4 linked regions of the Astyanax mexicanus genome follow. The protein of the gene in region 1 binds, or shares a complex with, the protein of each later gene. Links are inferred from orthologs where the notes say so. Each region holds a gene or a part of one and is shown in the gene's direction. Other genes may lie near its edges. The genes, in order: lamtor1, lamtor2, lamtor4 and flcn.

Evidence for each region.
Region 2: lamtor1 (region 1) and lamtor2 share a complex: the UniProt entries of both Homo sapiens proteins name them as parts of the ragulator complex. The link is inferred for Astyanax mexicanus from reciprocal best matches to the Homo sapiens genes LAMTOR1 and LAMTOR2.
Region 3: lamtor1 (region 1) and lamtor4 share a complex: the UniProt entries of both Homo sapiens proteins name them as parts of the ragulator complex. The link is inferred for Astyanax mexicanus from reciprocal best matches to the Homo sapiens genes LAMTOR1 and LAMTOR4.
Region 4: lamtor1 (region 1) and flcn share a complex: the UniProt entries of both Homo sapiens proteins name them as parts of the lysosomal folliculin complex. The link is inferred for Astyanax mexicanus from reciprocal best matches to the Homo sapiens genes LAMTOR1 and FLCN.

Annotation. Positions count from the first base shown.
Region 1 is NC_064425.1:12,520,692-12,528,133, forward strand, and holds the start of lamtor1 (ragulator complex protein LAMTOR1), read left to right. Parts: upstream 1-4,429; 5' UTR 4,430-4,593; coding exon 4,594-4,635; intron 4,636-7,442. Other genes in the region: lrrc51 (leucine rich repeat containing 51), read left to right, coding at 1,180-1,385, 2,252-2,400, 3,017-3,155. UniProt on the Homo sapiens protein: Key component of the Ragulator complex, a multiprotein complex involved in amino acid sensing and activation of mTORC1, a signaling complex promoting cell growth in response to growth factors, energy levels, and amino acids.
Region 2 is NC_064408.1:115,893,914-115,901,102, forward strand, and holds the start of lamtor2 (ragulator complex protein LAMTOR2), read left to right. Parts: upstream 1-4,189; 5' UTR 4,190-4,303; coding exon 4,304-4,371; intron 4,372-6,086; coding exon 6,087-6,249; intron 6,250-7,189. UniProt on the Homo sapiens protein: As part of the Ragulator complex it is involved in amino acid sensing and activation of mTORC1, a signaling complex promoting cell growth in response to growth factors, energy levels, and amino acids.
Region 3 is NC_064409.1:35,731,706-35,739,195, forward strand, and holds lamtor4 (ragulator complex protein LAMTOR4), read left to right. Parts: upstream 1-4,466; 5' UTR 4,467-4,591; coding exon 4,592-4,594; intron 4,595-4,982; coding exon 4,983-5,063; intron 5,064-5,199; coding exon 5,200-5,317; intron 5,318-6,539; coding exon 6,540-6,637; 3' UTR 6,638-7,486; downstream 7,487-7,490. Other genes in the region: atp6v1f (V-type proton ATPase subunit F), read right to left, coding at 1,524-1,725, 2,868-3,025. UniProt on the Homo sapiens protein: As part of the Ragulator complex it is involved in amino acid sensing and activation of mTORC1, a signaling complex promoting cell growth in response to growth factors, energy levels, and amino acids.
Region 4 is NC_064413.1:8,017,666-8,025,233, forward strand, and holds the start of flcn (folliculin), read left to right. Parts: upstream 1-4,555; 5' UTR 4,556-5,029; intron 5,030-6,059; coding exon 6,060-6,263; intron 6,264-7,568. Other genes in the region: leng9 (leukocyte receptor cluster member 9), read right to left, coding at 2,436-2,490. UniProt on the Homo sapiens protein: Multi-functional protein, involved in both the cellular response to amino acid availability and in the regulation of glycolysis.

The DNA of each region.
Region 1 (7,442 bases):
GTGGATCGGATTGCCCAAAAAATGTTCTTTAAAATTGTCCTTTAAAAATATTTATTTTGATTTAATCACCATGTGGTAGAGGGCTCTACCACAAAGCAGGATTGGTCATTTAGCCAGATAACTTGAGCCTAAAGTCAAGTCTGTCCATTAATAAAACAGCTGAGGGGCATTCCTATTGGCCAGTGCTTAACTATGGGCTTTAGATGTCTGTCTAACTGAGAAAGTGTGCTATGTGTTAAATCTATCAGATTAGTTTAGTTTCCTCTGAGAGTCAGATGTAGTGCAGTGGGAGTGTAGTATCCTTACTTAACATTACTACATTATGTTATGAAAGGTGTTAAAAGCCTGGGCCACAAAAATAATAAAAGTTGACATATGATATGTAAGTAAATGCACTGTTTTTAACTTATTTTGCTTAAATTCTGTCTTCAGCACTTATTGACACTGTTTCCCAGACTAGCACTGGAATACACAGCATTTTGAACTAGGATTTTAATTGAAAGGAAAATATACTGGAGAATAGTCTATACAACTAGGATTGATCCCTGTCTGGGTTTGGAACTGGAAACTGGAAAAGTACAGAAATTAGTTATTTAAAAGTACTGTGGACACACATTGAACAGCCACAGTTTTTTATTATTATTATTATTTTATTATTTATTGTTGTGTTTATTTACCATAAAAAAGTGTGTTTCACTTAAAATATTAGTCCTCCTTATTTTTTTTTGTGAAAATGCTAATGGGGCAGTTTTCTTGCCAGGGATTAAGACTATTCTTAAACCCTGCTATGTGTTAAATCTATCAGGTTATTTTGTTTCCTCTGAGTCAGATGCAGTGCAGTGGGAGTGAAGTACCTGTTTGCGCAGCTAGAAAGAGACAGATCACAGTGTGTTTATTCAGTAGGTTAGTGAGGGAGTGTGGAATGCAGTGAATTTAGGTCTGTAGATTGTTTTTTCTCCAGATGTTCTCCAGCATTGGTGGTATAGTGGTGAGCATAGCTGCCTTCCAAGCAGTTGACCCGGGTTTGATTCCCGGCCAACACAGATCTTTTAACTTTACAGTAACCAGAAGATTTAAATTCTGTTCTAACAGTTTACAGCTGTGCTTCAGCAACATATATATATATAGAGTGTCTGTTTTGACTGTTATTAAAGTGTCCTCACTTTCCTCCTCCGTCAGATGTGGCGTTGGAGGAGCCGAACACATCTGTACGTCCACTCAGGAGGAATCCGGATGGGAAGTTCAGCAGCAGTTCACTCAGACTCAACAATAACATGATTGTCAACCTGCAGGGCCTGACCGACACCCTGTCCACTCTCCTCTCCAAACCCCAGCGCCTCGCCTGGCTGGACCTGTCCTTCAACTTCATCACACACATTCACCCGGTACACACCAGCACACCTGCACAATACCCTAGTCATGCTTAAGCCCCACTCATTCAGGCTACAGCAGTTTACTCCCACTCATTCAGCTTACAGCAGTTTAGCCCCACTCATTCAGCCTACAGCAGTTTAGCCCCACTCATTCAGTCTACAGGAGTTTAGCTCCACTCATTCAGTCTACAGCAGTTTAGCTCCACCCATTCAGTCTACAGCAGTTTAGCCCCACTCATTCAGTCTACAGCAGTTTAGCTCCACTCATTCAGCCTACAGCAGTTTAGCCCCACTCATTCAGCCTACAGCAGTTTAGCCCCACTCATTCAGCCTACAGCAGTTTAGCTCCACTCATTCAGCCTACAGCAGTTTAGCTCCACTCATTCAGCCTACAGCAGTTTAGCTCCACTCATTCAGCCTACAGCAGTTTAGCCCCACTCATTCAGCTTACAGCAGTTTAGCTCCACCCATTCCACCTACAGCAGTTTAGCCCCACTCATTCAGCTTACAGCAGTTTTTAAATGAACTTTATTAGAAATTCTAAGCACATACAAAGTTAAACATCACAACAAGATGAAGAAATATATACAAGACAGCAATTCACATTCAATAAAAATGTCATTTCACACAGTTTAGCCCCACTCATTTAGCCTACAGCAGTTTAGCCTCACTTATGCAGCCTACAGCAGTTTAGCCCCAACCATTCAACCTTCAGCAGTTTAGCCCTCTCTCTCTCTCTCTCTCTCTCTCTCTCTCTCTCTCTCTCTCTCTCTCTCTCTCTCTCTCTCTCTCTCTCTCTCTCTCTCTCTCTCTCTCTCTCTCTCTCTCTCTCTCTCTCTCTCTCTCTCTCTCTCTCTCTCTCTCTCTCTCTCTCTCAGGTCCTTACAGAGCTCTCAGAGCTACGGGTGTTGTATCTTCATGGTAACAGTATACGTAAGCTGTCAGAAGTGGACAAGTTGGGGTCGCTGCCATACCTGCACACCATCACTCTGCATGGAAACACTTTGGAAAGCGAGCAGGGCTACAGGTACAGGCTTTCTGGTTACACTTAAGATGGCCCTGATTCTCTAACAGTTAGGACTGCTGTGTCTGCACCGTATGAAGCAGTATTTAAGGTGGAACCAATAATTTAGTAATTTCCAGTGATTCATTGATACATATATTTTGAGCCTCTCTTAAGATTGTGGCTCTGTCCCAGTGAAGCTAAATTGTGCCTACAAATACCATACAAATATAGAAAATTACTGAATTAAATAAATTAGTAAAGACCAGAGGTACACTATATTGCCAAAAGTATTCTCTCACCCATCCAAATCATTAAACTTAGGTTCCAATCACAAAACCAATCACCTAGACATGCGTGGTACCGTGATAGGATGCAGCACCTGTGCAACAAGTCCAGTCTTGAAAGACAGCCATGCAGACAGACTCATGCACTGGAGACTGAGCAGCTCCATACAAGCTTCACATCACCAAACACAGCAATGCAGGACAGCAGATACTTTTTTTCTTTCTGAAACTGGATTAGCCACCTTAGTCTGTATGTCTGTTTTAGTTTTTATTTAAGATTTAAAAAGAAAAGTGTGAAGAGCTCACTGAGTAACTCTGATTTGTTTTCATTTTCATTTGTACCTGTCTAACAGGGGATATGTGATCTCTGTTCTTCCTCACCTGAAGATGATGGACTTCAGCGCTATTACTAAAGAGGAGAAAATTCTGGCCTCCATTTGGCAACGAAGCAGGAGGAGCCGTGGAATCACTGATCACAGAACAGAAGGTTAAGGCGTCTCAGTGGAAACTAGTCTGAGCATGAAATAAGTCTATTGTACATTAAAGTTTTCAGGACATTCTTCTGCTTACTAGAACAACATTGTGTGCCACTTTTTCCAGCTGTAATAATGCATATTTGTGTAGCAGAACAACAACACACACTGAAAGCTAGCCAACATAGTGGAGGTAGCTTCACACACTGTTACTGTAGCTAAGATCCCAAAATAAAAAAATACACTCTCTCCATATACACTAACATGCCAGATGTCATGTCATTTCTGGCAGAATATCTGTCTAGTGTGGGTGGTGATATCACCTTGCTGTTTTGGACACAGGTGGATTAGAAACACACTGTAGATGTGATGTTAATACAGTCTAGTTAAATTTTATGTTGGCTGATATTTGGTATTTTCTACATGTTATAGTGTTATATAGTGTACAACTTTAAAGAGTATTATAGTACGTGTTAGTGCTTAATATAATATTATACAGAATAGTAGAACATTATATAACATTATAAATAATAAAAGAGTCTTAAAGCTGTATAAAGCTTTATGAAACCTTACAGGGCTATATAGAACATTATACAACTAATGTTGAATAATATTTGCTTTAAAGAGAGCAATATGTTTTTTAGAACATTACAGAGCTTGGAGGAAAACAACAGCGATAACTTTTTAGATCATTATAGCGCTTTAGAGAACATTTTAAGGCTTTATAGCACGTTTAATGTCCTTATAAATGTTTTAAGACCTTTATAGAACATTGTAGATCATACAATGTAAAATTAGTTGTTAAATTAGTGTCTAAACAAATAAATAAACAAACAAATGTCCCTGATAGCAAAAGGACGATAAGTCATTGAAAATTGATTTCTTTTAGGCTGATTCAACAGTGATTCAATGTTATATTTTTATGTGTTGTTTTATTAAATATGTATTTTGATTGTATTTCTATGCAGTGTAAAAAGGGTCATTTAAATAATAATTATTAATATTACTTTTAGTGTGAATCACCTTTGACCTCTAAGTTTTTTGAGTGTAGATTTAGATTCAGAGCCCCAATCATTCTAAACATTTAAATGAACGTTGATTCAATGGTAGAATTTAAATATTAACCGATATGCCTATGAGGCAATGTTATATAAAGGTTATTTTTACACTTGTTTTCCCCATCAACCTTAGAAAGATTCAATGCAACAAAAGAAAACAGAAAACAAAAACGTTTAAAAAACGTTGTATGGTATCAGGGGTTGCACTGTCACGCGCCTCCTAGGCGTAAGCGGCAGTAGTCCTGGTGTAAGCAGGGTGTCATGTGATAGTGTATCCGTTAGCAGCCAAGAGCAGACACACACAGCTCCAATCCGGATTCTTCACTTTTAAAACGCTTTGAAACGGTTCGGATCCGGTTCTACAGCCCCTGCAGGAGAAGCTGGAGACACACTGAGCCCATGGGGTGCTGTTACAGCAGCGAGACGGAGACCAACGACCAGGTGAGGGAGCAGCTAGCTGGAGACATAGCTTAGCTTAGATAGCTGGCTAACATGCTAACAGGCTAACAACAGACGCTCCTGACCTCAATTATCAAGTTTATTAAAGAGTGTAAAAGATTAATGAGCGATTTATAGGAGGGTTAGAGAGATTATACACGAGTTCTGTGCATTTGGTTGAGCTGTGAGGTTAAATCTGGTAGTTTAGAGGGGTGCTAGTTAGCTTAGCTAAGGTGAAATAACCTGGGATAGGTTAGCCTAGGTAGTTTGAGCAGGATGAGGTGTGCTGCCAAAATTAGTAAATAGCTAAATATCTATAGTTAGTACGGAGCCCTAGATGGGACATTGTCTATTTAAGTTAGGTTAAAAAAATTGGTGAGCACTAGATAATAAGTGGTGGGCACTAGATAATAAGAAGCACAGCACAACGTAGCAGTCTGTGAAGTTATGTAGTTAGCTACAGACCAAGGAACATAGTATCTGGTGCTCGCCACTTAGTGTACACTTAGTATATTTGGTGCTCACCACTTAGTGTATATGGTGCCCACTACTTAGTAACTGGTGCTTTTGTAGAGAGAGTTTTTTGAGGTTCAGACTTCACTTGTAGTACATTGTCCTCCATTAAACCAGGAGTTTAGTCATTAATAAAAAAAAAACACATTTTGTCTGTAAAAAATCTACAAAAAAAACGAGTCCTCAAGTCAGTCCTGCTGGAGAAGAGAGGGAGAGGGAGATTTTCAGAGAAAACACTGCACTGACTTTGGACTTGATATAACACAGTGGATCAACACCAACAGATGACATGCCTTTCCAAACCATCACTGATCATCAGTAAATTTTAAATTTCATTTGGAAATCAAGGGACCAGAGTCTGGAAGAAGAGTGGAGAGACACACAGTCTCATCTCATCGGCTGGTGTTGATCCATTGTGTTATGCCAAATCCAAATACAGTGCAAAGTGTTCCCGGAAAAACTACCAGCTCTTCATTCTTCCCTCTGCTGACAACTTTTATAAAGATACATATTTAATTTTCCAGCAGGACTTGGCACACTGCCCACACTGCCAAAAGTACCAATTGGTCTCATATAATATTCAAATTTTCTAAGACACTGATTTTTGGGTTGTCATTCGCTGCACGCCATAATCAACAATAAAAGAAAAAACGCTTAAAATAGACAATTCTGTGTGTAATATGTGTATATAATGAGTTTAACATTTTTAACTGCATTACTAAAATAAAGTAACTTTTCAATGATATTCTATTTTTTTGACATTCACTAGTATAGGTATTTAGTAAAATAGCTAGTGTCCAGTAATGCAGATATACAGATTGATATATTTAGTAAGGTGTATAAAATAAAAGAAACAGCTGTATGTGCACTGTAAATGTGCTTTACATCATCAGATGATGCTTAAATGTGAAGCGCTTTCATATTCGAGGACTACAGTTGCAAAAAAAGTATGTGACACCTTTGGGATTACATGGCTTTCTGCATAAATTGGTCATTAAATCTGTTCTGCTCTTCATCTAAGTCACAACAAGAGACGAACGCAGTCTGCTTAAATGGTTTTGGATTCACACAAATTTATAATCAACATTGTTAATATAGAGTAATCATTCCAGCCCTTCTTTTTGACCAGGCTATAAACAAGAAGTGGAAAAAAAGTGTCAGGTTTAGTCACAGTAGGAGTGCGTATGAGTGTGTGTGTCTCTGTCTGTCTAAGTAAGACAATAATGACCACGAGATGCATGGTTCTGCAGGGTTCTGCTCCTCTGCTCTGTATCAAAGTTCAGCTATAGATAGCCTGGGCTGTGGTTTACCTGCCAGAAAGTGGGGCATGTTTGGGGAGGAGGAGGTCTGGGTGTGGGGAAGTGTGCTGGAATGTCTGGTGAAGTAACAGGTGCCCTGGTGCAATTCAGTAACGGCTGAAGGAAGTGCGGAAGAGTTCTCTCTTAACAATTCTTTTGTGTTACTTGGGTGGTTGTGATTTCTGTAGGGATGTCAAATATCATATCTTTCACGATAAAGCGATTAAGAAAATTCACATTTTGATCATAGAGCTGTTCTGTCTTAAAAGCAGTCTATTTTGTATTGTATAATTGTTTATGCTTGCAATTATATGCATGCACAAAAAAGTCTGCACCTGACTATTGTCTTAGATTTTTATTACTTTACAATTATTTTTATGGTACGTTTCATTATTTTACATTTATTATATTGTTTACAAAATAGAGAAAAGCTTACAGATTTCTTTGTGTATTGAATGTTTAAAGGTGTTATATTTATGCAAAATAAAACTAAAAGATATAATTTGTTGCAGTAGTATGTCTTGAAATATGTTGAATATGTTTCTGTGTTTTGTCTGTCATAATGTCAAGAATATCGTTGTTGCAAAATGCGATATTTTGAATTGTAACCCCTGTATCTTGCTAGGGAGTGTTTTTAAGGGTTGTTAATGTTTTAATATGTTTGTTTGTAGATTTGCAAGGGTGGCTGCTGTGATATCTCTGATAGTTGCTGGTATTCAGCTATTTAATTGTGTTCTAAACAGTTTCTGTAATAGTTCAGGATTGTTTAAAATGGCCAGAATCAGCCACAATTTGCAGATTTCTTGACAATCCATTTTAATCAGGTGTGCTTGAACAGGAAAAGCACAAACTATTTAGGACTTGGATTGCCTGTTCCTGTTGTAAGTGGTTGCTATGGTATCTCCCATTATTGCTGTGGTTTGCTAACAGGTCATTATTCCGTTCTGGGCTGATTTTTATTCTGTTGCTTGGCAGTTTCTAAGTTGTTTCTAGATGTTT
Region 2 (7,189 bases), on another chromosome or scaffold:
ATCCAGATAAGTTACTTTGTCAGTAATTCAGTTCAAAAAGTGAAACTCCTATATTATATAGATGTATTACAAACAGAGTGATCTATTTTAGGTGTTTATTTCTTTAATTGTTGATGATTATGGTTTACAGTCAATGAAAACCCAAAAATCAGTGTCTCAGAAAATTTTAATATTATATAAGACCAGTTGGTACTTTTGGCAGTGTGGGCAGTGTGCAAAGTCCTGCTGGAGAATGAAATCCACATCTCCATAAAAGTTGTCAGATGCAGAGGGAAGCATTAAGTGCTGTAAGATTTTGTGGGAAAACAAAACTGCACAGACTTTAGACTTGATAATAAAACACAGTGGATCAACACCAGCAGATGACATGTCTCTCCAAACCATCACTGATTGTAGAAACTTCACACTAGACCTCAATCAGCTTGGACTGTGTGTCTCTCCACTCTTCCTCCAGCCTCTGATCCCTTGATTTACAAATGAAATGTAAAATTTACTGATAATCAGTGATGTTTGGAGAGACATGTCATCTGCTGGTGTTGATCCACTGTGTTTTATTATCAAGTCTAAAGTTTGTTTTCCCACAAAATCTTACAGCACTTCATGCTTCCCTCTGCTGACCTTAACTTTCATGGAGATGTAGATTTCATTTTCCAGCAGGACTTGGCACACTATGTACACAGCCAAAAGTACCAATTTGTTTTATATAATATTCTAATTTTCTGAGAAACTGATTTGTGATTTTCATTGACCGTAAGCCATAATCAACAACAATAAAATAAATAAACGCTTAAAATAGATCACTCTGTGTGATATATATATATCTATATGAATGATATTTAGATTATTTGAGATGCACTCATATTTTTATTTATAGACCATATGAGTATTTGTTTGATGCATTGTGGGTACTGCAGTGTGAGAGAACATTCAAACATGACAAGGATACAAACTCAGGCATTTGCAGCCTGTCAAGCAAGTGAGGTTGAGGATGCAGTGCTTAAGTACAGTATACGCAGTCATGCCAAATGTCATGGAACTGGTATTGTGTCCCATGACTTTTGCAATGTTTAATTGAGGCTAAAGGACACTGCATTTAATATGCATACTGTATTGAAATGGGTGTGATTGATTTATGCCACAGTTGCTTAACTGTTCACACAGACAGTTCAAGCCAGATGCTGCTGGACACCAGCATTACCACCCACTGCAATTTTCTGTCCACTGGGGGTGGTAATTACTGCTTATGATGTATTCCTGCTACACTGTAGATCAAGGAATGGTAAATATCTCATCCATCTGCTCCCACTATCAGTCCTCCCTCCAATTCCCATAATTCACTTTACCTAACATTCAACCCCACTCACAAGATAACACCTCACAACTTATACATATGTGGGCATTCACAAGTTCCAAAATTCCCAGAGGTAACACTTGATCCATTAACATACTACTGTCACATGACTTGTGACATGTATCCTAGTATTACAAAACATAATATATAAGATTAAATATCAGAATTGTCCCTCAAATAAGTATTTTTTTATATTGAACATAGAATAACCAATAATTAGAATAGCTGAATAAAATGTCAGCACAAGCCACCAAAACTGCTTAGAGAAACGTACATTAGTTTAAATAGCTTCTAGCGTTTAATTTCCTTGGGCTTACGACTACTGGTAGTTGCTTTTAAATTAGAATTAATGCGTTAATGTGTGAGCACTAGTACATGTCTCTGAAATTACACCCTAATCCACCCTAATTTTGAATCCCAGTTTGTTCAACAGTTGTCTTGTGACTCACGTCAAGAAGTCATTAGTTACATATAACATATAGGGCTCTATCTTACACTCTGTGTAAAGTGCGTAGTGATGCTAATTGCTATCTTACAACCCGTCAACAGTCTTTTTTTCAGCCTGTGTCACTAAAATAGCAACAGAGTTTAAGAATATATCTACGGCAATGGGCGTGGTGGTCTGGAAGTGAGGTGTGTTCAGGTAAATATCTGGTGTATTGCTATCTTGGCAGTGGCAAACACAGGTGCTCCACTGACTGATTTAAACCCTGTCAACAGTCACCAGTCAGACGTCCATACCTATCTTAGCAACTCTGGGTGCATTCTGTGTGCTCAGCACACATACACTATTTGTTACACACAGCTGCAGTGCACAAACCCAACCTTTACATCAACAATAAACAAAATCAAGAAAAAAAATATAATTGATTTTCCTGTTAAATTGCTGGCTTACCTTCACAGCGTAAATGAGCAGGTCAGTTTCCTCTAAAGAGATGCGCAGAAGAGATGCACCCTTGAAATAGTGCACCTGACTCTTAAAGGGAAAGGCAAGTGACACCTGCTCTTAATCAATTTAAGAGAATTAGTACATGTCATACTTTTTCTAATGTTATGATAGCAAAAACACACTGGCATGCCCTCAATTAAGCTGTGCGGTGCATGGTTGAGGCTCACCTGTAGATCGCTAAAATAGGGCCCATAATAAGGGGCGGATTTTACCACCACGCAAACCACGCAATTGCTTGGCCAAAAGGTTGGCAAAAAAGAAAAAAACCTGCATTATTTCTCTATTGTTTGACACCGAAGAGACACTGTACACGCAACATTAAGCTAGGCGAGGTAGACTAAGGTACCTTTGGCACAACCATTAAACGGTCTTAAAAACAACCAATTTTCAAGTGTTTCACACTGAAGGAATGTTTCCTTCAGGATATTTACAGGACTTTAATGGAAGTCAAAGTAAAAAGATTTTATTAAATTCAAAATGATTTTGGAGAATTTCTCTTGGTCCAAACAACAGAAATTATTTTTTTTCCATGACATCAGCAGTGTGTCAGTCCTAATGGCACAGTACAGAAAAAAATTAAACACAAGTAAAGTAATGGATATGAGACATTTAAAAGGAAAACCAAGAATATAGCTTTACAGTAGGACATGCTTATATCCCCTACTACAGTGCTGTGAAAAATATTTGCCCCTTACAGATTTCTGTTGTTTTTGCTTTTTTGTCATACTTATAATTATCACTACATTTACAATACTATGTACTTAAATTTTCCAAAAATTGCAAAGCCATTGATCATCTATCAGTCTGGAAAAGGACCACAGTGAGAGCTATAATTCACAAATGGAGAAAACATTGTACTTTTTATGTTTATTCATGCTATCTTTGTCTGATATTAAACTTAGTTTGAAAATGTAAGTATAATAAAAAAAAGCACAAAAAAACATAAATCTGTATGGGGACTAATACTTTTTTACAGCATTGTATATACAATATTTATGATCAGCTATTTTCATCTACATATCTTTTATCATTTCAATAAAAACAACCTTTTTATATTTAGTTTTATTATAAAGATGCATAAATGAACTGTCTATACTCTTTTTTGTATCAAAAACAAACTGTGTATTCTCTTTAGTTTGATGATAAAGCTGCATAAATTAACTACCTATGATCATTTTATCAAAAACAAACTGTTTCTATAGTTTAATTATAAAGATGCATAAATGAACTACCTATGCTCATTTTATAAAAAATAAACAGTTTGAAATCTTTAGTTTATTTATAAAGGCACGGAAGTAAACTATCCATGCTCATTTTATAAAAAACAAACTCCTTAAACTCTTCAGTGAAATTATAAAGGTGCATCAATTAACTACCTATGATCATTTTATCAAAAATAAATCGTTTGAAATCTTTAGTTTAATTATAAAGGTGCATAAATGATCAATCTATACTCATTTAGCCAAAAACAAACTGTTTGTACTCTTTAGTTGAATTATAAAGACACATAAATGAACTAGCTATGCTCATTTTATAAAAAATAAACAGTTTGTTCTCTTTACTTTAATTATGAAGACGCATAAATGATTGATCTATACTCATTTAGCCAAAAACAAACTGTTTATACTCTTTAGTTTAATTATAAAGATGCATAAATGAAATATCTTAATTATAAAGGTGCATAAATGAACAATCTGTACTTATTAAGCTAAAAACAAACTGTTTATACTCATTTAGTTTACTTATCAAGGTGCATACTTAACTATATATGCTCATTAAAAAAAAAAAAAACCTTTTTGTACTCGTTAGTTTAAGTATATAATTGTATGAATAAACTATCTACGCTTATTGGGCCCAAGACTACATTTCCCACAATCCCCCTCGTGCCTGTGTTGCGGAAGTGTGTTAGTCAGCTGATGTGTGTGTGTGTGTAAGTTAATGCTGGCTGCTGTAAAAGTCCTGGTTTCTGTAGTATTTTGAGGGATTTACTGGGTTTTCTGATCATGTTAAGACCTAAAGCTTTAACTCAGGTGCTCAGCCAGGCCAACACTAACGGAGTCCAGAGCACGCTGTGAGTATTATCCGCTCCGTTTACCGCAGATGTGGAAATATTGTGGCTAAGGTTGCTAAGCTAACTCGTTAGCTTCATTAGCTAGTATAGGTTCAGAGTGAGATAAATATATAGAAACACAGTGAAATCAGTTTATTAATGTGGTTTAATGTTTGTTTACGTGTTAAATCTGCTTCAATCGATATGATAGTGTCAGTGTTAAGTAAGCAGCGCTTCTGTTTCTGATTAATTTATCTTCTTAGCATAGCTAGCTAGCTAACCTATCTAACCTAGTTAAGTATAAACCAGTTAATGTACTAAAGGTTGTTTTTATACAACAAATAAAGTAATTTAAGACATTCACATCACTGTTTTGCTTTAGTAAAGATAATATAAATTAAATGGGAATTAAATGGTCAACCTAGTGTCAAGTATTAAGGTATAAAAAGTAATAAAGCTTTTGTTTAACAAAATTTGCGAATAATAGTTTTTATATGATATAACATCAAGTTTTAAGCCACCCTAGATGTGTAGAAACTGTTGCTGTAGTAAATGTTATTAATAATAGTGATAAATTGCGATTACTTAAACTTTTTTTCTCCGTAAGGCTAAGCTTTTAATATATATATATATTTTTTTTGTGTAAATATCACATCAGTATTATATTTTCTAAATTAAGTTATATATAATAGGTGTCATTTGTTAAAAAAAATGTTATTTAATTATGAATCATATCATTATTCAAATACTTTAAATGCAGGTATTTCCCTGTATTTTTTATTTTTTATTTGTATGTGCTGACTTACTAAGTTTAAAAGTGAGCTTTAATGGAGGAAGTAAATGTTAGTGTAGCTCCATATTCCACATTCAAAAATGTATAAAGAGGAAATGTTCTGAACTCTGCAGTAGCAGTGCTGTGTTATCATGCTACATAAAAAAATGTAGTAGGATGTACTGTTGCTGCTAATTGTCTACTTTTTTTTAGGGTATTTATCTTTATCTTTATTTTATGGAAGCCCATTCCCGCCACTTAAAAAAAAAAAAAATCCAGCATTTTTTTTATTATTATTATTAAGTAAACTGCAATATCTCGATATTTTGACACAAGTCATTATTTTGAGAAAGTAAGTCATTATTTTGACATACTATCTCAATATTTTTTGATACTAAGTCATTATTTTGAAATACTATCTCAATATTTTGAGATAATAAGTCATTATTTTTGAGATACTGAGTCATTATTTTGATATACTATCTCAATATTTTGAGATACTAGTATACTGTACAGAGACAGAGGCAGGTGAGACAAAGACGCACAATGGATACTATTACTATATAGCGGTTTACTTAATAATAATAAAAAAAATGTGCTGGATTATTTTTTATTTTTTTAGGTGGCGGGAATGGGCTTCCATACTATTTGGTATATTCTATTTTTATTGTTTTTTTTTTTATTTTGTTATCTTATTTTATCTATATATCTATTTTAACAACAGCTCTTGGGTGTAAACTGGATCATGAGATCACAATTTCGTTCCACCTCATGTACCACGTGATGCAAATGACAATAAAATCTCCTTGAATCCTTGAATTAATGTATCTTTATGAAGGTCTAAACTGCATTGTTAGGCTTCTAACTGGGCAAAAACTTGTCAGGACAGCGGATGTTGTGTTGGTTTTGATGCTTGCTGTAACCAATTTTCCGATGTCACTTTCTTTCTTTCTTTCTGTGTTAGGTTACTAAATAATGAAGGGTCACTTCTGGCCTATTCTGGCTATGGAGACACAGACGCGCGAGTAACTGCAGCTATTGCCAGCAACATCTGGGCAGCCTATGATAAGAACGGACATCAAGCCTTCAACGAGGACAAGCTGAAGTTTATTCTCATGGACTGTATGGTAATAACTGTCAAAAAAATCAAAAATCAACTTACGGTCCTATGTTTACAGTTTCTATTTATTTATACTTGCGGTTTGTGGGTGGCTTGTTTGTTTAGACATCTATTCTGTAGATTTCAAGTGTAATTAATGTAGTCTGGAGTTCCTCTACCCACTATCAAAGCGCCTTGCCATGAGCATGCTGACCAGTAGTCATCCTAACTCACAAGGTAACACCTCACAAATTATACAGGTGTCTGAATTCCCACTTCATTATCAATTCACAAACTCCTGTCACATGATATTTGAAGTATATTTGAAAAGTTTTGTTTAGCAAATAAAGCTTTTTTTCTTATATACACTACTGCCTTTTAAAATGTTTAAATAATATTTAATTGTTATGATTTTATAGCAGTTGCACAAATGATCACCTCCTACTTAACTTAATAACCCATTGCTGAGCATGCCAAACTTTTGCTGATGGGGTCCATTCAGATTCTATTCATTGATCATACTGGACTACTAAATTACCAAATAAAAAATTTGATTGTATAAGCTGATACTGACAGTTAACAAAACATTGGCAAAAAATTGTAATGCATCATACAGCTCAGGAAAAAAAAAGAGACCACTTAATTGAAAACCTCTAGAATATAATTAAGAGGAAGATGGATGATCACAAGCCATCAAACCAAACTGAACTGCTTGAGTTGTTGCAGCAGGAGTAAAGGCATAAAGTTATCCAAAAGCAGTGTGTAAGACTGGTGGAGGAGAACATGCCAAGATGCATGAAAACTGTGATTATAAACCAGGGTTATTCCACCAAATATTGATTTCTGAACTCTTAAAACTTTATGAATATGAACTTGTTTTCTTTGCATTATTTGAGGTCTGAAAGCTCTGCATCTTTTTTTTTGTTATTTCAGCCATTTCTCATTTTCTGCAAATAAATAAATGCTCT
Region 3 (7,490 bases), on another chromosome or scaffold:
CCTGCTTTGTGGTTGTCCTATGGGGTCCAGACCACCGAAGAACAGTCTGAAAGAAGGATAATAAAGTGTGCAGAGAAACCGAGAGACTACAGTCTGTAATCGTAGAACTACAGTGTTCCTGTATAATCAGTGAAGCTGATAATGGACAAGTGTATAAACAAAGCTGTGATGTTTTCTTATATAATAAAGTGTTCATGTTTTTATTTACAGTACAGTAGAGCTGACCAAACACAGGGGAGAAAGAAATGGGTTTTTGGAATCTGTTGGTGCCTCCCATGAAATGTAAAAACCAGTTTTACAGCTTGTGTAGTGTAGGTAAAGTTAGGCTCCTCTTTACTTGGTGCAGCAAAGTGCATCAAAGAAGCAATATCATCAGTGATGAAAGAAGAGCATACAGAGATGAACTTCTAGATACATGCATATCACTGTCAATCACAGCAAGAGCTTTGTCAGTCTCCATACTGGTGCTCACATACAATGCATAGATAGGACAGGTAAGTGTTGTGTTGTGTTCATTTCCATACAGGAATGACACTAAAATAGTAGTGTTAATTTTGTGTGTGGCACTGGTATGAATGTATTATGTGGTATTGCCGGGGGTTTTGCTTTACTGAAGAGAAGCAACCTGATCCAACTACATCTCATTGTTATGTCTTGAAAAGATCTAGAATATTTTTACACCATATTTTGCACCACAATGCAGACCATTTTGTTTCTTATTCGTGAACAAGCTATTTTTTTCCTTTCTCCAATGATTGCATCAGTTCCTTTCGAAATGTATCCGAAAGTATTAAAGTTATCCATCCAATCTATTTTAGGGCCTAGGAAGAAATCAAAATAATGCACAAATTTCTGGTGAGAAAAGAAAAAACTGTCACAATGAAACCAGATTTGACATATGCTCTTTAATGAACATGAGACTCTCTCTTGCAGTTATTAACAAATAAGTTAACGCACATATGTATGGACATGAAGTAATATTGAAGGATTAATCAAATACAAAAACAAAACAAAGCAGGATGTATTATCATCAGGTCACCTAATATATGTATATAATAATATGTATAATATTTGATTAATAATTGTATAAATATTAATATTTGTTCATAATTTGATTATACACTCCTAAATGGAAGTTGCTGTAAGTAAAATGGAATGTTTGACAGCTCAGTCTAAATAAATAAACTTACAGATTTATAGATTATATCATTTTATAATTTACATATACCATTTATAATTTAAATGTGACTGAAAAAATATTTGGAATCACAGAATCACAAGTTACACAATCCAGTTAGGTGTTCGATCACTGGTACACACTTACCCCATTTCACTTTATCCAACATAACAGACAAAGACACTAAATAACATACACATTAACACTTACAGAAGTATTCTGTATTTAAACCAACTCAGGCAAGATATGGGAGAGAAATCCATCAAATATCAGCTGCTCTTCATCTAGCGCTATTCCTCTCCCATCTCCTGCCATGTCTAGGTCTTAATTCTTTCAGTTCTTTTTCTTATCGGAAATCTTCTGCAGAGAACATGCCCTTGGCCCTGCGCAGGATGGAGTCCTTGGAAGCGTCGTATGGGTGCTCTTTTGACGGGATTTCCAACACAGCGGGAATGGACTGCATATGGGCATCGATGGCATGGCGGATCATCTCTGCAATGAACTGGTTGATGAGGATGATGCCAATGTCACTGCGAGCCAGGAAACTCCTGTTTCAATAAATAAACAAAATAAATGATACTTGTAAACCAGATTTTGATCTACAACAAATATCTTATATAACATTATGCAGGGAACCAATAGGGTGAATGGACATCATCTTTAATTGTGTTACACTGTCCAGCATGTTTATTTACACTGCTGTGGTTAACATCTACAGAACGCTTTTAGAAATACAATGAAGCTGCTTTTGGTGCAACACAGTGCACTGTGGCAGGCTGCAGCTCTCTCCATTAAAATGAAAAGACCACGTTGAGAAATGTCATGATTCCATCAGGCAAACACTAAGCAAATACTTTGTACATGGCAGAATAGGAAAGAGGAAGTCTGTTCAAGACATCACTCAGTTCAAGTTGTTTTGTAAGGAGGAATAGCCAAAAATTTCCCCAGATTATTGTGCAGAATTATACACCAAATGGGCTGCCAGAAATGTTTGAAGTTGTAGCTGCTCAGAGGGGTCACAGTAGTTATTGAATGCAAGGGCACACATTCTTTCTTTAAAAAAAAGATACTTAGTATTGGATAATTTGCACCCATCTCAGTTGGGTTTAGGTCAGGGGATTGATATATATATATATATATATATATATATATATATATATATATATATATATATATATATACACACAATGGTTTTGACAAAACATTTTAACTTATCGACAACCTATGTCAACGTTATGCTTAAATAAGCACTTCCAGTTTATTTATAGAGCCCTCTCTTCACAATACTGCTATACTCTGTATATATGGATACTGACATACAGGTTAATAGCTAACCCAGATTATTTTAGTTTAGCTAGGCTAGCTGCCTTTATATTGCTAGTTTATTTGTTCTTTAACCGTTCAATAGTTAATTAAATATCTATATGTTACACTAAACTAAAGACACATGGGTCGAACCCACAAGTAACAGTAAATTAAAGCAGGTTTAGCACCCTTTAGCTACTGCTCTTAGCTGCGCCTATAAAGCTAGCTTAGCATGCTAGTTGGCATAGCTAATACGGCTAAAGTGGGGAAACGATCGACGCTTAAATCAGTTCCTCTATAAACATTTCAGACTGAGGACGGTGAGATAAGACTGAAACAGAGCGCGGCGCTGGTGAAGCTCAGGAGGAGGAAAATAAGGTCTTACTTGAAGGTCTCCTCTATCTCTGTGATACTGGTGTCCTTCTCCACCACCAAGAAATTGGGTTTACGGTTCTTGTTGAGCTCTCCGATCCCCCCCAGCAGGAAGCCCGTGCAGGTGTCCTCATCCCCGATCACTGCGATCAGCTTACCCCGTCCAGCCATGGCGGATCGCGGCGGTGAGAAGAAATATCAGCAAATAACAGACAGAAATCTATCCGCCTACTCCTGCTGCTGTCTTCACCCTGGATCATATGCTGCAGTCAGCTGACCAGCACTTCCGCTTTACCTTCCACAGCAGAGCTAAAATAGCTGACTGATCTCAGATCAGACTCAACACCACCAGCACTGCTGCTGCCAGATACTACTCAGGGCATTACTCCAGAATGCACAGACCCAGGGCCAGGGCTAGCCATCCAGGCTCCCTAGGCAAAATTCTTTGTGGTGCCCCAACCCACTTTTTTTTCCTTAGTTTGAGCTCTCATTACTCCACAATGCTACAGTAATACTTGATACTTATGTCATTAGTAGAATAGAAAGGCTTCTTTGAGAATGTAATGGTATCTTTTAATAACAGTTTGATTAGCTGGTTTTATAGAACTCCAAATCTGGTTTATGCAAAACCAAATGGGCATTTTTTTTCTAGGTTTAACGTCCCATTATTCCAGAATGCTATAGTAATATCACATTAGCTATTATAACATGAGAATGGGATCTTTATTAATTTAGTGGTCTGATATGATAACTCTTTGATTTTCTTGTTTTATAGGACCAAATTCTGATCTATATACAACCAAATAGGCAATTTTCATACATTTGCCGTCCCATTCATTAAATTTCTTACAGTATGATTACTTGAACATACATAATGAAAATATAATAAGTGTTCTTCCGTAGTAAGGGTCGCCACCTATCAGAAATGAAAATAAGGGACACCCACCAAATAAATAGATGATTACAAATATATGTTTATATACATGTATATACATATATATGTGTTCATTAACTTATTTATTACTGGACAGCACTTTGGTCAGAGTTTGTTGTTGTAAAATGTGCTTTATAAATAGAATTTAGATTTTATTTTATTTTTTTTATATTTTGTTTTTTATTTTAGTGTTCTTTATTTATTTTTTGTTTTTATCTATTTTCTTATTAAGCTTTGCTTGTTTATTTATTTTTATTTTGTTTATTTTAGTTTATTTTTTTCATTTATTTATATTTATTTTTATTTAGTTAGTTAGTTTTTCCTTTTATTTTCTTTATTTATTATTATTTTTTTCTTACTATATTGTTGTTTTCTTATTTTATATTAGTTTAGTTAAGTTAATTATTTTCTTTCTTATTTTCTTTCTTATTTTTGTTTATTTTCTTATTTGGTTTTGCTTGTTTTGTTTTTTTTACTAGTTTATTTTACTATAGTTTATTACTATTATTATTATTATATTATATTATATTATTATTATTGTTTTAGTTTAGTTTAGTTTATTATTTTATTTTAGTTGATTTATTTTATTTTATTTCGAGTTGATTGCACGTAGAACAAAAAAACTGAAGATACTTCACAAAGTAGTAGTAGGAGATGATTTTATGTCAGTAGGCGGCGATGTGTTCACACACCATGTGACTCACCACTACAGAAGAAGCCTCCAGCGTCACGTGAGAGACACAAGACGGAAAATAATAATCGTTTGTATCTGTTCCTGATCTGACCTGAGGGGAGGACCGACCATGGTGTGTGAATTTGCTTTATTTTCTCTTTTAAATAGTAGATTTTTCTTTAATAGAGACTCTCTGATGTGTGTTCTGTTGGTAGAAGCTCTCCGGGGTGTGTAGTCAGCTGTCAGCTGTGTGTGTTTTGTTAATAACTGTAGTTCTGTAGTTTTCTTTCACTCTTCTCTGCTGCTCCTGAAACAGCCCCTAAACAACACATCACATCCAGTAGTTACACATAGTGTCTTTATTCACTGTTTGTCTTCTGGAGATTGAAGTTGTTTTAATGTTATAAAGCTGGTCCTATTTTCTCTCTCTCTCTCTCTCTCTCTCTCTCTCTCTCTCTCTCTCTCTCTCTCTCTCTCTCTGTCTCTCTCTCTTCCTCTCCCTCTCCCTCTCTCCACTGAAGACCACAGCACTGACTCAGGGTCTGGAGAGAATACCTGATCAGATAGGATATTTGGTGATCAGTGAGGATGGTGTACTTGCAGTAAGTGTTACTCATTACTATATGTACACAAAAAAATGACTTTTTTTCACTTGTAGCAAATTTAACAGAGCTGAAGAACATAAGCATTAAATTGAGAGTTCACAGGAGGCTTTTTCTGTGCTTTTTTCCCTCTCAGTCTTCAGGAGAGCTGGAGAACGATGAGCACACCGCAGGGGTTATCATGCAGATGGTCCGAACAGCTTGTCGCTTCAGGCTTCATGGAGCAGCAGAGCCACCTTTCAAGCGCATGTCAGGTTAGAGATTTTGAATGACCATAAATCTCTGTATACCAGGGTTCAGATTCTCAAAGACCACTTCAAAATTCAAGCAGTTCAGCTTAGTTTAATGGCTTGTGTTTTTCATCTGTTTCTCTGCATATTGTGTCGGCCTCCTTTCACACTGTTCTTCAATGATCAGATTATCATTCTCAGCATCACACTGATGGTGATGGTGTGTTAGTGTGTGTTTCGCTGGTATGACACTCTATGTTCACTCTATTAAACAATTCTACCTAGCTGCTTCACCGTGTAGATGTAAAGTTAGAGAGAGAAGCTCTTTGGTGCTGCAAAGTTTGTTGGTCATCTTTGAGCCTCATCTGTATATGCAAAGGTTTGAAAGTCAAAGGTTTGGACACACATTAAATTTAGTGTATTTTTTATCAGGATAAAATTATCTGCCTTGTAGATTAATACTAAATTTAACTATGAAGAAAAACTTGGAATTATTTAGTAAAAAGTGTTAAATAAACCAAAATATGTTTTATATTTTAGATTCCTCAGAGTCACTCTTGCTCTTGCTTTGCACATCTTGGCTGGATTTTGTCAGTCAGCTTTATGAGGTAGAATCACCTGGAATGGCTTTCAGTTAACAGCTGTGCTGAACGTGTCAAGAGTTAATTACATGAATTTCTTGCCTCTTAATGTGTTTGAGAGTATCAGATGTTTAAAGTGAATAGCCATATAGTTCTTCCATATTATGGCAAGAAATACTCAACTAAGTAAAGATAAAAATACTTTATGTTGAATACTTGAACTAAATCTGAAAAATTCCAAGAAATTTGAAAGTATCCTCAAGTGCAGTTGCAAAGACCATCGAAAAAATTATGATGAAACTGGCTCTCATCAGAACCACCCCAGGAAGGGAAGACCAAAAGTTACCTCTGTTGCACTGCAAGAAATTGCAAGTTAACAGCACCCATCTAAACGATTCACACAATATTTTGGTTTGTTTAACACTTTTAAGTTTACTACATGATTCCTTCTGTGTTCCTTCATAGTCTGAATGACAACGTAGGGAAAAACAAAATAATAAAAACATTGAATGATAAGGTCTGTCCAAAACCTGCCCAAACCACAGAGCAACCTGCTTAAAGTTATCCTGTTTCAAATCATTAGTTGATTCAATGCATAGTTAATGACTGGTTTTACACAAATAATAATGTTGTAATATCACACTCTTTGTATTTTTTGTCCACAGTGATGTTCGAGGACTATATTTATGCAGTGACGATTTCTGGACAGAAAGTCTTTGTAGTGAAACGGCAGAACAACCAACGGGAACCTGTTAATGTCTAGTAGCGAGGTGCCGTTACAAGTTAACGGACTACACACACGCTTGTAAAGTGCCATCTGTTTAAATAACACACATATATAACATGATAACAATGTAAAGTTAAGAAGAGTCATACTGTAATTCTTATAGTGTGCTTTTTTTGTCTACAGTTAGGGATTCATTTTCTAGTTGCATTTTCCCCCACAACTGGTGGTAATAAATGGCATGAAAATGTGGTCTATATAATTGTTCTCACACTTCACAGAAATATTGCACATATCTGTGACATTTTCACAGTGACTGTAACAGCGTCTCACTTTTGCAAAACCTATTTGAACTACTTTTTAAAACGAATTGAATTGATTAAGCTCCCCTTTTATAAGTATATGACATCTTTTGGGTTATGTCCAGTTGTCCACATAATCCAGAGGCACTTCTGCTTTTTTCTGAGGATGATGGCACTGATCTTTTATTATTATAGATATGTGTAATTTTCTCTGTGGGTTTGATGATCTATACAGCCCTGAAGATCAGGCTGTTTATTCTTTGTTTGTTCCAGCTCTTCCAGAAGTGAAAGTAGCTAATGTCTGTATTTAACAAACCTTTATTAAATTACTGCTTTTTAAAAGTAATATCATGAACTAATTTCTCGGTTTTGCTGTTTAATATTGCTTCTGCTAATTTATGTTCATGTTCTGAGTAAAGTATTATTGCAAGTGCTGGTGGGTAGCAGGGGGAAGCAAGCAAATGGTTTTCTTAGATGGGTCAGCCCGGAAGTAACTGAGACGTGATGTGTTTTATTAACAGTGCTGAGCCCATTCTGTGGGTTGTTGGAGTTGATTTAAAAGGTAGAATAAAATATTATAAAATAATCTG
Region 4 (7,568 bases), on another chromosome or scaffold:
AAATTAAATATGTTCAGAACCCTGTACGTTTTATTCTGTGTAAATTTTCTTCCTGAACAACACTGGGTCCTCTGATTTTCAAGATTGTTTAAGAGTTGTAATCAGAAAAATGCTAGCTTTAAGCTAATGCTACAGTGCAGCTGCAAAGATCGGCAGGGGACTTTTTTCAGCACAACACCAGAGAACTCTGGCCATAAGTTTACATCATATTAAACTTAGCTGATCCAACTAATGAACTAACTGCCCTCACTGAAGAGAGCTGAGAGTGTTACAGCAGGAAATCACTAAAACAGGACAGTGATACTCCAGGAGCCAGCTTTAAACACTGTAGCATGTTTTAACATTTACTCTCTTTATTATGCAGTGAAATAAATAAAAAATGTTTGGTGTTTCTGTCTCGTTGGTTTAGTACCTTAAGCCAAGTTAAGGTTTGTCCATATAATAGGATTCAGTGAAAAAACACATATTAAGGTTTTTTATCTTAAGTATTTTAGACTCTTTGGTTTCTTAGATAGTTAGCTAGCTCTGTGGTTTTGGAGTAACTCTCTCCTGCTAGTTTTCCTGCTTTATCACTCAGCTCGCCTCAGCCAGCAGATAGGTAGTTGATTAGTTGATTAGTTATTTGTTGGTTGATTATTTGGGTCATGTGTTGTAATTAGTATAAAGTAATGACCCTAATTAAATACTAAACCCGCTGGGAAGCGCTACTCCTGAACTGAGAGCCACTCTCTCTTAGTATCTGCCTTTTAAAGCTCTAACACAGACTACACTGCTCAACGTCACTATACTGAAAGAGTTTCACCTCTCTAAACGCTTTAATGATCCTCTGTGAAGAAGAAGAATAATCCAAAACACGATCCAGCCGGAGTTCGCTGGTGTACTGCAGAATCGAGTCCCCTAGCATTCACTGCTGCTGTGCTGTGACGTCAGTTAAGTATTAGCTTAAAGCTAGCATTTTTCTTATTACTACTCTTAAATAATCTTGAAATTCAGAGGATCCAGTGATGTTCAGGAGAAAAAATGTACATAGAATAAAACATACAGGGTTCTGAACATATTTATTTGCCACATAATGTGACAAGAGGCCAATTTTTGAAAAGCCCATACATTTTTTCCATTTAACAGAAATTCTTAGACACAGAACCCTAAATATGGGAAAAAACAACATGGTGCCGACTAAAAAATTACGACACAACTTCAGTGGTCTATAATAAAACACATTTGTAGACACAGTGTGAATCACAGCACAGAAGTATTGGGTGTGTCTGAAAGTGGAATTATACTGTCTGTGAGTTTTTAATCCCAGCTTTAACCTTCACTCCTTTTTCAGCCCACCCCAGAATCTGTAAAAGCACTGAAAGAACTGAGCTTCACATTCAGAAACGACTTCAGTAGAGTTTACCTATTTAACTTTATGATACAAGGTGAGGACATACCTATCTGACCTTTGAACTCTTGACAGTTCATGAAATGGTAATGGCGCACACAAACACACGTGTAATATTCTTAATACTCATTATCAAACCTATGTTGCTCTGTTAATATTACTAAAAGCCCCTGGTAACATTGTTAAATACTAAATGTGTGTGTTTTGAGAAGCATATAGTAAAGTTAAAATAGAAAACACAAAGCAAGAATATGACAAAACACTCCCCACAAATCACCAAAACGCACTCCTCTCTTCACACCTCTCTTCAGAGACCGGTGTGGGTGTGGCAAACAAATGTTTGTTTACATTACCATGGCAACACTCTACCTCAAGATAGAATCTGCATCCAGAACTGCTCCCCATTAAAAAAATAGTGCAATATATGAAACTTATTCTGTGTAACAGGGGTAACTTTTGGTCTTTCTTTCCTTGGAAGGTTCCGATGAGAGCCAGTTTCATCACTATCAAAATGTAGCGTACAGACAAGGTATGCTTGAATTTCCCATGTATACCATAACAAAATGGGGGGGTGTTTTAAGTGACAGAATGAAAAAAAGTTTCACACAAACTTTGTTGCTTTTTTATGAAGCAGTGTTTCTGAGCGTAGTGTCCGCTCAAAGTCATTTGGCCATCTCCTAGTGAGTTCAATATGTAGCAAATGCTAGTGAATGATTTTATTTTTTTGCTTAAACGGTTGCTAAGCGACAGCTCACAAACTCACAGATTCTGGTTGCTCAGACTCGAAGAGAGGGGGCAAGGCTATGTTAGTAACCTTGTGATTGGTCAGGTTTTTTGCTGATGCCAGCCTGACCCACTTTCAGACAAGCCGACTCCACATCCAGGGTAGAGTATTAATATTGTGTCTACTACTACTACTACTACTACTACAACAACAACTCATAATAATGGCATATCTAGTAACTGGTCCTTGAGCCAAAAGGTCAGTGCTCAACAGCATACATACAGGGTGATATTGTGAGGGTTTGTATAGGTTGTAAAGAAAGACCTATTTGGGTGTGTGGATCTTCTATGAGGGGATTCCCTGGTCCTTCTTCTTCCATGACAGATGGTGTAATCTGGGAAACCACGGGGATGTCCACCTCAGAGGCCAGAGCTGATCTAGGTTCAAATAAAGGCCTGTTATTCCTGACAGTTCCTAAAACAGGAACTGGAAATAGTCTAAACACACTTCAGGGTGTTACATAAGGAGGAAGAGATTAAAACTGAACCCAAAAAGACAAACACGACTAAACTTTCAATAGGAAAGTAACGTTAGGTAAAAAACATCCAAATAGAAGCACAGATGATTATTCATTGACAGTAAAGCAGTCATATAATAAAGGACGGTAAGGTAAAAGGTCTAAACTGAGTTCCTTGTTTGAACTCTCAGGTCCACCTTAAACGCAGAAGCAGATACGTACCAACGCCTGGAGACCCACTGTGCAACTGCTGGAGCATTTAAGGTGGAACGGACAATTCCAACGAGAACTTTAGCTTCATTTAAGGGTGAAAACACTACTAAACGTACTGACCTCGACTATATAACATATACAACGTTGTTATTAACTTAAAACAACAACCAAAAACAATAGTTGCCGTTAGAATTCGGTGCGGATTCGCTTACCTTAAAAACCGACTCTTACAAAAGCTGTCTAAATGCATACATAAAAGTCCCTTATAAAAATAAATAAAAAAATAAATAAAAACAATATTTCACGTACTTTAAAATGTTTTATATACGACCATTAACAAAAGTTACACCGGTGTAAACATCTAGAATCAACAAATATATAAGTTAGAGCATAAATATTTAACTAAATAAAAATAGAGTTAACGCTAGCTAACTAGGTTAAGGTAACGTAATGTTGCTGGTGGTATACGCTATATATAGTTATATATGTTTACAAAAATAAGTAAAATACTGGTAACACTTTACAATAAGGGTACATCAATAAACAGCACCTTATGAGAGTGATAAACATTGTTAAATGTTTTAGTAATGTCACAACTAACTAGCTATTAAATGAGTTTCTTGTTCAATTTTCACTTCCACCTTAAAAGCAGCAGCGGATACAGCAAGGGATATGTACCAACTCCTGGAGACCCAACGTGTAACGGCTGAAGCATTTAAGGTGGGACGGACAATTCCAAAAGAAGCTAACTTTTACACAAACTTCGACTATATAACCTATATATTAAAATATTAAGCAAAAATAACACCAAAAACAGTTATAGTTAACGTTACCATTCGGTGTGGATTTGCTCACCTTAAACACCGAGCCGGTAACCAGGGAGTTTGATGATTGCTAGTGTGAGCGTGTAAGTGTGTGTGTATTAGATCCAGGGGAATATTTCACAATGACATCATCTGACGGGATACCTGACACGTGTTTTAGCTGAAACTGTACAGAGAGGAGAACTCCCACTCGAGAATGTGTTCCAGGTTTGCTGGTCTACCAGAGGGCGCTCCAGAGTGAGTTTAAAATAAATGAATGTAGCAAAATTATACTTTATTAATGCTTAATAATTTTTCATACTGAAAATTGTAAGTTACTTATTTTCTCAACTCAGAACAATATTACATGTTTTATTCCTACACACATATTTTCTTAAGCTTTTAAACTCCATTTACAGTGGTATGAAAACCTTTGGGCACCCCTGATCATTTTTATGATTTTTCTTTAGAAATCTTTGGTTGTTAGGATCAGCAATTTCAGTTAAACATATCATATAGCAGACGAACACAGTGACAACTGTGAAGTGAAATGAAGTTTATAGGATTTACAGAAAGTGTAATATATTCCCGAGTGAAATGAAGGTTTAATAATTTACTGATTCCACAGTAGTATTTTTAAGTGTGATTTCTTAGAAAACAGAGTGTAATAAAACAGGGAGGTTAAGATACTTTTATTTGCTAGCTAACATGTTTTTTATTTTTTTTACTGGATTTATGATAACTAAAATAACTAAAATCTGTCAAATTAGCAAGCGTATTTTAAAAGATATTTTTAAAAAGTATAAAAAAACACACTAGCGCCATAATGAAATTTTACTACACAGAGTCCTACCTGAGCTTTTCTTTGTGCTGCTGTAATCAGTTCTAAAACGAATTAATTTTGTTTAAATAATAATAGTTTACAAGAGGGCTTTTATTTTGAAGGGAGAGTCATTTCACGGACCTGCAGCTGTTCGCTTTGTTATGGAGGAAGCGCGTGACTGCTCGTCACGTGACAGAGGGGTCTGAAGATGGAGTAATGGAGAGTTTATTGTGAATTTGGGGGAATTATTAACGTTATAAATCTGCGGGGACGGCCTGAAAGCGGGCAGAATGCAGTAACATGTGGTCGTACTGTGATTTATCACCTGTGAGAGCATTACCTGTGGTGATTCTGCTGTTATAGTTTTTATTTATTGGGTGAATTAACGCTGATTAACTCACTCTTGAGTTCTGTTACCTGATTTACATCCTAATAATCACAGTTTAATTAATAAGTCTGCTCATCAGAGAGGCGATTAAACGCGTTATTACTGATAAACAGAGCGCAGGAATAGAGGAGCCTCCTGTTCAGAAGTCTGGGTGTTACAGAAACAGTAAATAAGGTACGTAAACATGATTTACACTTTGTTACCTACTACATACAGTAACTTGTGCTTCTACTCAGTGGCCACTTTATTAGAAACGCCTACTACAGTACCTTGTGCGTCACCTCAGTGTGGCCACTTTATTAAAAAACCTACTACATACAGTACCTTGTGTTTCTCCTTAGTGGCCACTTTATTAGAAACACCTACTACAGTACCTTGTGTTTCTCCTCAGTGGCCACTTTATTAGAAACACCTACTACAGTACCTTGTGTTTCTCCTCAGTGGCCACTTTATTAGAAACACCTACTACAGTACCGTGTGCTTCCACTCAGTGGCCACTATATTACAAACACCTACTACAGTACTGTGTGCTTCTATTCAGTGGCCACTTTATTAGAAACACCTCCTACTGTACCTTCTTTTTTTTACTTTTTGTGTCCACTTTATTAGAAACACCTACTACAGTACCTTGTGTTTCCATTTTTTGAGGCCACTTTATTAGAAACACCTACTACAGTACCTTGTGTTTCCACTTTTTGTGGCCACTTTATTAGAAACACCTACTACAGTACCTTGTGTTTCCACTCAGTGTGGCCACTTTATTAGAAACACCTACTACAGTACCTTGTGTTTCCACTTTTTGTGACCACTTTATTAGAAACGCCTACTACAGTACCTTGTGCGTCACCTCAGTGTGGCCACTTTATTAGAAACGCCTACTACAGTACCTTGTGCGTCACCTCAGTGGCCACTATATTAGAAACACCTCCCACTGTACCTTCTTTTTTTTCTTTTTTTTTAAACTTTTTGTGTCCACTTTATTAGAAACATCTTCCACAGAACTTTGTGCTTCCACTCACTCTGGCCACTTTATTAGAAACACCTACTACAGTACCTTGTGCTTCTCCTCAGTGTCCACTTTATTTAAAAAAAAAAACCTACTATTTGCTTCCACTCTGTGGCCACTTTATTGGAAACCCATAAAATGTAATTCTACGGACTGGGCCATTTTAGAACCACCACGTTGTTTATTGTTTATCCCCAGATGAATGCTTTGGTTGCTCTTTGCCATTTCTGTGAACTGCACGGGCCCCGGACCCTGTTCTGCACCGAGGCCGTCCATCCACCAGCCCCCTCGCCCCCTCAGCCGGGGTCCGCCCTGCTGGGCGATCGGGAGGCAGAGAGAGAGGGAGAGGGGCTGACCATGAGGGCCAACAGCTCTGCCACACAGAGAGCCGACATGTGTGAGGTGAGAGAGGCTGTGAAGTAGTTTATATACACTTGCGTGGCCAAAGGTTGGTGGATAATTGCTCATCTAAAGTTTAGATATCAAAACCAAGAGTAATGAATGAGTTCAAGGCTCCGTACTAACTAGTGAGGGGACAATCCACCTTTTTGAGCTCTGATCCGATTCCGATATAAAACTGATATAAAACTGCCGATACAGATACAAATACAGATAAAAGGGCTCTTTTAGTTTATTATTAGTACTATGATTAAGGTTACATAATAATGCTGAAACAGACCACACAGCCAATTGAAGTGTATACACAAGTGCATTTAATGTAAAGTCATTTATTTCACGCACTTTATATACAAACACACAATAGTTTTCTTTCAAATTAAATATTTAAATTTTTATCAAATATAAAAAAAAAGTTCAATATGAAATGTGTTAAATATTAAATACATGGCTCTAGACTAATCTTTTTTGCACTGGTCGCGCAGGACTCTTTTATTTTCGCACGTAGCGTAGTGGATTAGCTGCAATGGCTGCAATAAATTAACTAAATTAATGGCTGTTTTTAATAACAGATGGGTGTGTTTGTGCTGGTTAGTGTTTGTAGATCCTGTGGTTTAATGGGATATCTGGATTATGACTACAGTTTACAGTCTGTAGTTAATACCTTTACAACACCAGAATGCAGCTGTCAGTGCAATGTTAGCTAGGCTAACAGACTGCAGATGTTAATGGAGATGGCTAACGGCTAACCAGCGATGCTAACTGTATTTCCGAACTAAATTAATCACTGTTTTTAACAGCAGATGTGTGTGTGTGTTTGTGCTGGTTAGTGTTTGTAGATCCTGTGGTTTTATAGGATATGTAGATTACGTCTATAGTTTACTCCAGTAGTTAATATCTTTACAACACCAGAATGCAGTTGTCAGTTTAATGCTAGCTAGGCTAACAGACTGCTGGTGTTAAACTCTCCAGATTTTTTTAAAGACAAACAGCTAAAGCTGCTAGAGGTTCAGGGTAAACTGTTAAACTGGAATCCGGATCAGTGATGCGTTTAGTGTTTATGTTACTGCTGGTTTATTGTTCAGCTCAAGCTGCGGACTGTAGTATGTATCGGTAAGTGGATAGACCGCGGTCACCCGATATCTGACACCCTGATTACATCAATATTGGCCCCGATATTGTATGTTAACTCACAATAGCACATTAAAAACCAGGAGAAGTAGAAGTAAATTTACAGAATATATTAATAAACACATTGGGTTTAATTTACTTTATTGTTTTGTATTATTTGTTCTTTAATTTCCATTTATA